2 linked regions of the Saccharomyces cerevisiae S288C genome follow. The protein of the gene in region 1 purifies or fractionates together with the protein of each later gene. This does not show direct contact. Each region holds a gene or a part of one and is shown on either strand. Other genes may lie near its edges.

What was found.
Region 2: the proteins of NOP9 (region 1) and NSR1 purify together in Saccharomyces cerevisiae (affinity purification with mass spectrometry, with the first as the bait; 2 studies listed by BioGRID). This does not show direct contact.

What each region holds. Positions count from the first base shown.
Region 1 is NC_001142.9:416,562-421,867, reverse strand, and holds NOP9 (RNA-binding RNA processing protein NOP9), read left to right. Parts: upstream 1-2,305; coding exon 2,306-4,306; downstream 4,307-5,306. Other genes in the region: chaperonin-containing T-complex subunit CCT8, read left to right, coding at 205-1,911. UniProt on the Saccharomyces cerevisiae protein: RNA-binding nucleolar protein required for pre-rRNA processing. Component of the 90S pre-ribosome involved in production of 18S rRNA and assembly of small ribosomal subunit. Component of the pre-40S ribosome required for release from the nucleolus.
Region 2 is NC_001139.9:805,731-810,271, reverse strand, and holds NSR1 (Nsr1p), read left to right. Parts: upstream 1-2,615; coding exon 2,616-3,860; downstream 3,861-4,541. Other genes in the region: YGR161W-C (uncharacterized protein), read right to left, coding at 1-45; RTS3 (Rts3p), read left to right, coding at 852-1,643; exosome non-catalytic core subunit MTR3, read left to right, coding at 4,251-4,541. UniProt on the Saccharomyces cerevisiae protein: Involved in pre-rRNA processing. Specifically binds nuclear localization sequences. Candidate for a receptor at the nucleus that may be involved in both RNA and protein transport. Binds telomeric sequences of the type (TG[1-3])n in vitro.

The DNA of each region.
Region 1 (5,306 bases):
AGCACATTTACTATTTCAATAGCTTATTTTATATAAGCCAAGTTAATGGTGTTTTTGTCATTATTAACGGTATTCGAAAATGTTCATCACCTCCGCTAGTGGCAAAAAAAAGTGAAGAAAATAGTATAGCATGATGATGTTCTCACTTTACAGATACCGACAAGACAACTTGAACCTCAAGGGCAATAAAATCATCAATTAACCATGTCACTTAGATTGCCACAAAATCCCAACGCGGGATTGTTTAAACAAGGCTACAATAGTTACTCTAACGCCGATGGCCAAATTATTAAATCAATTGCGGCCATTCGCGAATTACATCAAATGTGTTTGACTTCTATGGGACCCTGTGGTAGAAACAAGATCATTGTTAACCATCTCGGTAAAATCATTATTACCAACGACGCGGCCACCATGCTAAGAGAACTAGATATTGTCCATCCTGCAGTGAAAGTCCTCGTAATGGCGACTGAACAACAGAAGATCGACATGGGAGACGGTACAAATTTAGTCATGATTTTGGCTGGCGAACTATTAAATGTGTCCGAAAAACTGATTTCAATGGGCTTGTCTGCCGTTGAGATTATTCAAGGTTATAATATGGCAAGGAAGTTTACTTTGAAAGAACTAGACGAAATGGTTGTTGGTGAAATTACTGACAAGAATGATAAAAACGAACTTTTGAAAATGATTAAACCAGTCATCTCCTCCAAAAAGTACGGATCTGAAGACATATTGAGTGAACTTGTTTCTGAAGCTGTATCTCACGTTTTACCAGTTGCTCAGCAAGCTGGAGAAATTCCTTATTTTAATGTTGATTCTATCAGAGTAGTAAAGATTATGGGTGGATCGCTTTCCAATTCTACCGTCATCAAAGGTATGGTTTTCAATCGTGAGCCTGAAGGCCATGTAAAATCATTATCCGAAGATAAAAAGCATAAAGTTGCAGTTTTCACTTGTCCGCTTGACATAGCCAATACTGAAACGAAAGGCACTGTTTTATTACATAATGCACAAGAAATGCTCGATTTTTCTAAGGGCGAGGAAAAGCAAATAGATGCCATGATGAAAGAGATTGCCGACATGGGCGTAGAATGCATTGTTGCAGGTGCTGGTGTTGGTGAATTGGCGTTACATTATTTGAATAGATACGGTATACTAGTCTTGAAGGTACCAAGCAAATTCGAATTAAGAAGATTATGTCGCGTTTGTGGGGCCACTCCATTGCCTAGATTAGGTGCGCCAACTCCAGAAGAATTAGGTTTAGTGGAAACTGTTAAGACAATGGAGATAGGTGGTGATAGAGTAACTGTGTTCAAACAAGAGCAAGGTGAAATTTCAAGAACATCTACTATCATTTTAAGAGGTGCCACACAGAATAATTTGGATGATATTGAAAGAGCCATTGATGATGGTGTTGCAGCCGTCAAGGGACTAATGAAGCCATCAGGCGGTAAGTTGTTGCCTGGTGCTGGTGCTACCGAAATTGAATTGATTTCTAGGATAACTAAGTATGGTGAACGAACACCTGGATTGCTACAGTTAGCTATAAAACAGTTTGCCGTGGCTTTTGAAGTGGTTCCTCGTACCCTAGCGGAGACCGCTGGTCTTGATGTTAATGAGGTACTACCAAACTTATACGCTGCACATAACGTAACTGAACCTGGTGCAGTTAAGACAGATCATTTATATAAAGGTGTGGATATTGATGGCGAATCTGATGAAGGTGTAAAGGACATCAGAGAGGAAAATATTTATGACATGCTTGCAACGAAAAAGTTTGCTATTAACGTCGCTACAGAAGCTGCAACTACTGTGCTTTCCATTGACCAAATTATCATGGCAAAGAAGGCGGGTGGTCCAAGAGCACCTCAAGGCCCAAGGCCAGGTAACTGGGACCAAGAAGACTGATTTGTTTGCATCTTTATACTTACAAAGTAGATATACCTGCAAACAGCAGAATATAATGTCATAAATTGCAATCAAGTTTTCAAACTTGCTAGGCTGTATCATGTGTACCTGTATAGTAGTAAAGATATATATAATGTTTGAATTTTTGATAATGCAGATGTACTGTATACATTAACCAAGAAGCAACCTGCAAAACCGACGAACTCTTGGCCTGTATATTTGTTCGATGATTGTAATACTTTTTTTTTTTTCAATTTTTTTTCGGTTAGCGAGAATTTTCATGCTCATCTACAATATAATGAAGAAAATTATATTAGATGAGCTGCGATCTGTTACAACTAGTATACTGTGAACGACGCTGAAACCTTCACGGAAAAACCACATTATTGTTATTATGGGAAAGACTAAAACAAGAGGCAGAAGACACCAAGACAAACAGAGAAAGGACGAATTTGAACCCAGTTCAAATTCTGCGAAGGAGCACATCCAGCAAGAAGAGTCTACTTACAATGACGAAGCCGAAATTAAAGAGACTCAGCCACAAATGTTTTTTGGTGTGCTAGATAGAGAAGAACTGGAGTATTTCAAGCAAGCCGAATCGACTTTGCAATTAGACGCCTTCGAAGCACCTGAGGAAAAGTTTCAATTCGTCACGAGCATTATTGAGGAAGCAAAAGGTAAAGAACTGAAATTGGTTACTTCCCAAATAACTTCGAAATTGATGGAACGAGTTATTCTTGAATGTGATGAGACTCAGTTAAAAGACATTTTCCAATCTTTCAATGGCGTTTTCTTCGGGTTGTCATGTCATAAATATGCTTCCCATGTTTTAGAGACTTTATTTGTTAGAAGTGCCGCCTTGGTAGAAAGAGAACTTTTAACACCAAGTTTTGATAACAATGAAAAAGAAGGGCCTTATGTGACTATGGAAAATATGTTTCTCTTTATGTTGAATGAACTGAAACCGCACTTGAAAACTATGATGAACCATCAGTATGCATCACATGTTTTGAGATTGCTAATATTAATTTTGTCTTCCAAGACATTGCCTAATTCAACTAAAGCGAACTCTACTTTACGTTCCAAAAAGTCAAAAATTGCAAGAAAAATGATTGACATTAAAGATAATGACGATTTCAATAAAGTTTACCAAACACCGGAATCTTTCAAATCTGAACTTCGTGACATAATAACTACTTTATACAAAGGATTTACTAATGGTGCCGAGTCGCGTTCTGATATTTCGCAATCTACTATCACCAAATTTAGAGAGTACAGTGTGGATAAAGTGGCTTCCCCTGTAATTCAGCTCATTATTCAAGTCGAAGGTATTTTTGACAGGGACCGTTCATTTTGGAGATTGGTCTTCAATACAGCAGATGAGAAGGATCCTAAGGAGGAATCATTCCTGGAATATTTACTGTCAGATCCTGTCGGTTCTCATTTCTTAGAAAATGTGATTGGCTCTGCCAGGCTAAAATATGTTGAAAGACTTTATCGTTTATATATGAAAGACCGTATTGTGAAACTAGCAAAAAGGGATACTACAGGTGCCTTTGTAGTGCGTGCATTGCTGGAACATTTGAAGGAGAAGGACGTAAAACAGATATTGGATGCAGTAGTTCCTGAATTAAGCATGCTTTTAAACTCAAATATGGATTTTGGTACTGCTATTATCAACGCAAGCAATAAACAAGGTGGTTACTTAAGGGATGATGTCATTGCTCAATTAATACAAAAATATTATCCAGAAAAGTCTGATGCAAAGAATATTTTGGAAAGTTGCCTGTTGTTGAGTGCATCGACTTTGGGCAATACCAGAGATGACTGGCCAACAGCAGAAGAAAGAAGACGATCAGTTTTCTTGGAACAATTAATTGACTACGACGACAAGTTTTTGAATATTACCATTGACAGCATGTTGGCTCTGCCTGAGGAAAGGTTGATACAAATGTGTTACCATGGAGTATTTTCGCATGTTGTTGAGCACGTACTACAAACTACTAGGGTGGACATAATTAAGAGAAAAATGCTATTGAACATACTGTCTAAAGAGTCTGTAAATTTGGCATGCAATGTATATGGCTCTCATATAATGGACAAATTGTGGGAATTTACGGCAAAATTAACATTATATAAGGAGCGTATTGCTAGAGCATTAGTTTTAGAAACTGAGAAGGTGAAGAATAGTATTTATGGCAGGCAAGTGTGGAAGAATTGGAAACTGGAATTATATGTTAGAAAAATGTGGGATTGGAAAAAACTAATTAAGGAGCAAGAATTTGAAATATTTCCAAATTCTAAACCGCTACAGCCAAAGCCAGAAAAGCACTCAAGAGAAAGAAATAATTCGAAGGAAGGAAGCGCCTTCAAAAAGCAAAAGCACTATAGATAATTGGATAATATGTTACTACTGTACTGATGTAAATTATAGAATTATGCAATATTTTCCTCTTAATAAAAAACCTTAGCTTAAACATTATTAAGGAACACTACAAAGAATTTTGCAGATTTTTAAAAGTTGTCAGTTGCTACGATATTGTATGAATAAGTTGGCGATATTTTTTATATTTAGTTTACTTTCCAGTCAATTCTTTCCGCCCTTTGCATCTATAAATTTAAATAGAAGGATAAAAAAGTGGTTATGAATAGGTAAATAATACTAGAGTAGGACGATAGAAGTCTGTATGAGTTACGGAAGCTTGTAAAAAACCTCAGAGATGCTCACAAATTGTGGTATTCTATACAATGACTGCCATCTTTTGATATTTATCGAAAATGTTACCGTCCCACGTCTAGATGAAAACAGTGATAATTTACTACCATGAAAGCAATACGCACATAAAGGATATTAATTTTAGGGTCTCTTGATGCACTATCATGAAATTTGTAACATGCTGACCTCCTAGTATCCCGTGAATATGTATATTTCAGAAATAGCCGAATATTAAGAAAATTGTTCGTATTCCATTGTTGTTAAGGGCTACAATATTAGGGATACAGAACATACTACGAGTTCTCCTCGAGAACATAGAAATCCTTATATTAGTATTAGTAAAGGATTTTATTATTTATTGGTAACTACTAAGTGTATTTATTAAAGATAATATTCAAAAGTAATTGTATTGTTGCGTTTATGAACAGAGTGAGACAAGTATAAGTATGTTATTATAATATCATACATACCATTGAATAAATTATTTTAATGAAATGGTTATGTTTATATACTCACAAGGGAATCGGTATTTCTTACATAATAGTATTACTCTGTCTTCGTTCCTTTTATACATTGTCATTCAACACCCTATCCTATTACATTATCGACCTTGAATTTCGGCTTTTATTAAGTCTGATGACTATTTCTCATCATTCATGTCATCTTCTTACAGATATGA
Region 2 (4,541 bases), on another chromosome or scaffold:
TGCGAAATGTGCATTCGAAGAAAGATGGTTGAAGTATCCAGACATAATGCTGTATAATGTTGACTATAATCGGTTGTTTTAGCTCTGTGGTATACTACAGATGTGCTAAAATATGCCGAAATCACCACAATATACAATAAATACGATATCATCATGGACGCATGCACGACATATTACAAGGCGGGGGAAAGAAGAAACGGAGCGCCAGAGCCACAACGAGGAAGCGGGTTTGTGGCTCTCACATCACAGCCCGCCCCTACCAAGATCGTAAGCAACGTGTTCAACACGTACCAAAAAACCATAATGGCAAGCCAGCGTTTACCTCACCCGCGGATGACACATCCTGCTCTTACATATGATCGCGGGCTGTCCACAAAAAACAACCTGGAAATACCAAATTTGGCAGCTACCGCGGAGTAGTGGTCATGACGGAGAGAGTTGCCAAAAAGTGACTGACTCGACTCCCCTCACAGCCCGGATCAATTTTTCCATGCGTTTCCACGGAAATCCGAGGTTTGCCGTTAGAGTCCCAAATTGGCGATGGATGATGAGATAATGCGCCCTTATCAATCACGCTAAAAATTGCCCCACGCTGTACTCAACGATCATAGCTGGCTATTGTTATCGTTGGCTTAGATGGTTTCGCCCGTACAAAAATAGACTTGCATATATATAAAGCTTATCTTCGGCCTCAGTCGTCTAAAAAACTATCTTGCCTAACATTATCTTGTCTTCTTTTCGTTCCCTTGAATCATATATAAGAAAAGATAATCAATCATTCGGCTATTTTCTTACAGATACATACATACGTATAATTCATCAATCATAGCATTAATAGAAGATAAAGTATAATGATCGCTACCTCCAGAGCCGTAAACATGAATAAAGAATCAAAACACAAGAAGGCTGTTGCCAAACCATGCAGAGAGAGACAAACTTCAGTTACAAGAGCCATGAGACCAGCTGTAGCACGTGATCCTCGCAGACTTTCGACGTCGTCGTCTCCTTCTTCGTCACCAATGTCAGCACAGAGAAGGCTTTCGAGGGAAGAAATAATAAACGAAATGGAAAAGGAGCAAGACGCTATTGTAGTAAGACTTCTACGGGAAATTGAAACTTTAAAAGAAGAAAACTCTAGGTTAAAAAATCAACTGCACCATCCGGTCCCGGCTAGAAGGTCGTCTCCATTTTTCGAAGGCGAGTCTGCCATCCTAGATGATGATGACTGCAATTATGGTTACACCCTCGACACTCCAAAGCTAAAGCTCACAGATGGTGCATCCAGACACACCGTACTTCCCTTAACACCCAAGGACTCCATGACCCACATTTCCCATTCCGCCAGAAGGTCAAGCCGGAACGCTTCCATATCTAACGGAACAAGCATCTCAGACACGATTTTCCCCATTGAGACTAAAATCCACTCAGCACCAACAACAAACAGAAACCTTCCCTCCGCCGATCTTCCACATCACACTCTTCTTCCACGTTCTCTAAGCGGCATTTCGTCTAGCGATTTAACCGAATCCGGTGCTCTTCTTCATGACAGGAGAAGGCGTTCTTCCAATTACAGTCTCGATGGCTCAAACTCTTTAAAGGCTGATCTCATGGCAAAGAGATTCCAAACTGGTTCATTGAAATAGGCTGTAAGCGAGATACATAAGAAAACAGAGTTTCTCTAAATATATTCTTCCTATTGATCTTTGGCAATCCAACACATATGCAGTTCGTGCACTTGCGTTATAAGCGTGACTTCTCGCTTGGTTTTTTTTTATAATTTTTTTTTAAAACCTCATTCTAAGTACAACTTTGGCGTTTTTCCAAGCTACTACTTATAATTATATGGTTTATTTCATAAATATATATATATATATATATATATATAGAAAATCAATATACATTTAAGCCTTACTGGAGATGACACTATTTTTGTTCACATTTTTTCTTATGCTCTAAATACCTCGGCCTCATACGCAGAGACAGTGTTGATATGTTTTTATACAAAGTAAAGGCAAAGAGAAGGCACAGACAGGATTTCACAGGCAGCTAAGTAATAACGAATATGCTTGCTTCACATATTTTGCCGCCAAATTACACGCTATGGAGCTACGTTCTACTAGTGGTTACTTACCGCTAGCTATTTAAACCCCATCACGTTGATTGTCTATTTCGCTATAGGTTATTTTGCCAAGAAAACTTACTGGGCAATACTTACATCCATTCAGATTTTTGGATAAAGCAATTGAAGAAAGACGACAGCAATTCGACTGGTGGTTGTTAATTACCCTTTGATCCTCTGATTTAAAGACGTAATCCTTCCTGGGGGTAAGTGCCTGATGTATGGGTCCCCATGCCCTTTTTTTTCGTTTCTTTTTTCACTCCATTTCTTTTTTTTTTTTTTTTTTTGGTGAAAAATTTGCAAGGGCAGCTCATCGCAAGAACGAAAATTTTCAATCCAATATTAAAAGTACTTAAGTGTAGCTGTTGCTGTCTGCACTTCCCAATCCATTGGTACCTTAAGTTATTTCCTTTCGTAGTATTTTTCTTACTTTTGCTTCCCAAAGACGAACTGTTAACCAATTTCGGATCACTCAACCCAGGCAGGATAAAATAAGATGGCTAAGACTACTAAAGTAAAAGGTAACAAGAAGGAAGTTAAGGCTTCCAAACAAGCCAAAGAAGAAAAAGCTAAGGCCGTCTCTTCCTCTTCCTCCGAATCTTCATCCTCATCTTCATCTTCATCTGAATCTGAATCTGAGTCTGAGTCTGAATCTGAATCTTCATCTTCATCTTCATCCTCTGATTCTGAATCCTCTTCTTCATCGTCTTCTGACAGCGAAAGTGAAGCTGAAACCAAGAAGGAAGAATCCAAGGATTCCTCTTCCTCTTCCTCTGACTCTTCTTCCGACGAAGAAGAAGAAGAAGAAAAAGAAGAAACCAAGAAGGAAGAATCAAAAGAATCTTCTAGCTCTGATTCATCCTCATCTTCATCTTCTGATAGCGAAAGCGAAAAGGAAGAGTCTAACGATAAGAAACGTAAATCTGAGGACGCCGAAGAAGAAGAAGACGAAGAGTCTTCCAACAAGAAGCAAAAAAATGAAGAAACCGAAGAACCAGCTACTATTTTCGTTGGTAGACTATCGTGGTCTATTGATGACGAATGGTTGAAGAAGGAATTCGAACACATCGGTGGTGTCATTGGTGCCAGAGTTATTTATGAAAGAGGTACCGATAGATCTCGTGGTTATGGTTACGTTGATTTTGAAAACAAATCTTATGCTGAAAAGGCCATTCAAGAAATGCAAGGTAAGGAAATTGATGGTAGACCAATCAACTGTGATATGTCCACAAGCAAGCCAGCTGGTAACAACGATCGTGCCAAGAAATTCGGTGATACCCCATCTGAACCATCTGACACTTTGTTCTTGGGTAACTTATCTTTCAATGCTGACAGAGACGCTATTTTCGAATTATTCGCTAAACACGGTGAAGTTGTTTCCGTCCGTATCCCAACACATCCAGAAACTGAACAACCAAAAGGTTTCGGTTATGTTCAATTCTCCAACATGGAGGACGCCAAGAAGGCTCTAGACGCTTTACAAGGTGAATACATTGACAACAGACCAGTTAGATTAGACTTCTCTTCTCCAAGACCAAACAACGATGGTGGTCGTGGCGGTAGCCGTGGTTTTGGTGGTCGTGGCGGTGGTCGTGGCGGTAACCGTGGATTCGGTGGTCGTGGTGGCGCTCGCGGTGGCCGTGGCGGTTTCAGACCATCTGGTTCTGGTGCTAATACTGCTCCATTGGGCAGATCAAGAAATACCGCTTCTTTCGCTGGTTCAAAGAAAACATTTGATTAATGAGAAAATGAAATGAATTTCAATTTCAATTTTTTCTCTTTTTACGTTAATTACTATATTCCATTTTTGAGGAAAAATTTGGTCTATAATATTTTGTGTACATTAGTAAGTAAATAGGATACATTCTTAAACCTTTCATTCACCATCTCTATTTGCCAACTTTTCTTCGAATGGCTTACTCTTTTTTTTTTCACGATGAGATGAGATCGCTAGATACGGAAGATTACAAGGCCTTGGAAAATACTCAAAAAATTTCAGTAATATGAAATGAATATCTAAATAAAAGCTTGGGCGTTGTGCTTGATTGAGCCACGAAAACTTCCTTTAAGGATTAGCACATACTCCACTTAAAAGTAGGAACATACTCACATTAAGGTGTTATCAGAATAAATGAATGTTCAAGACAGAAGGAGGTTATTAGGCCCTGCTGCTGCCAAGCCAATGGCGTTTAGCAACACTACTACTCATGTGCCAGAAAAGAAATCAACAGATTTGACACCTAAAGGCAATGAAAGTGAACAGGAACTTTCTCTACATACCGGTTTCATCGAAAACTGCAATGGATCTGCATTAGTAGAAGCTAGAAGCTTAGGACACCAAACATCGCTCATTACCGCTGTCTATGGACCACGCTCCATTAGAGGATCCTTCACATCTCAAGGTACTATATCTATTCAGTTA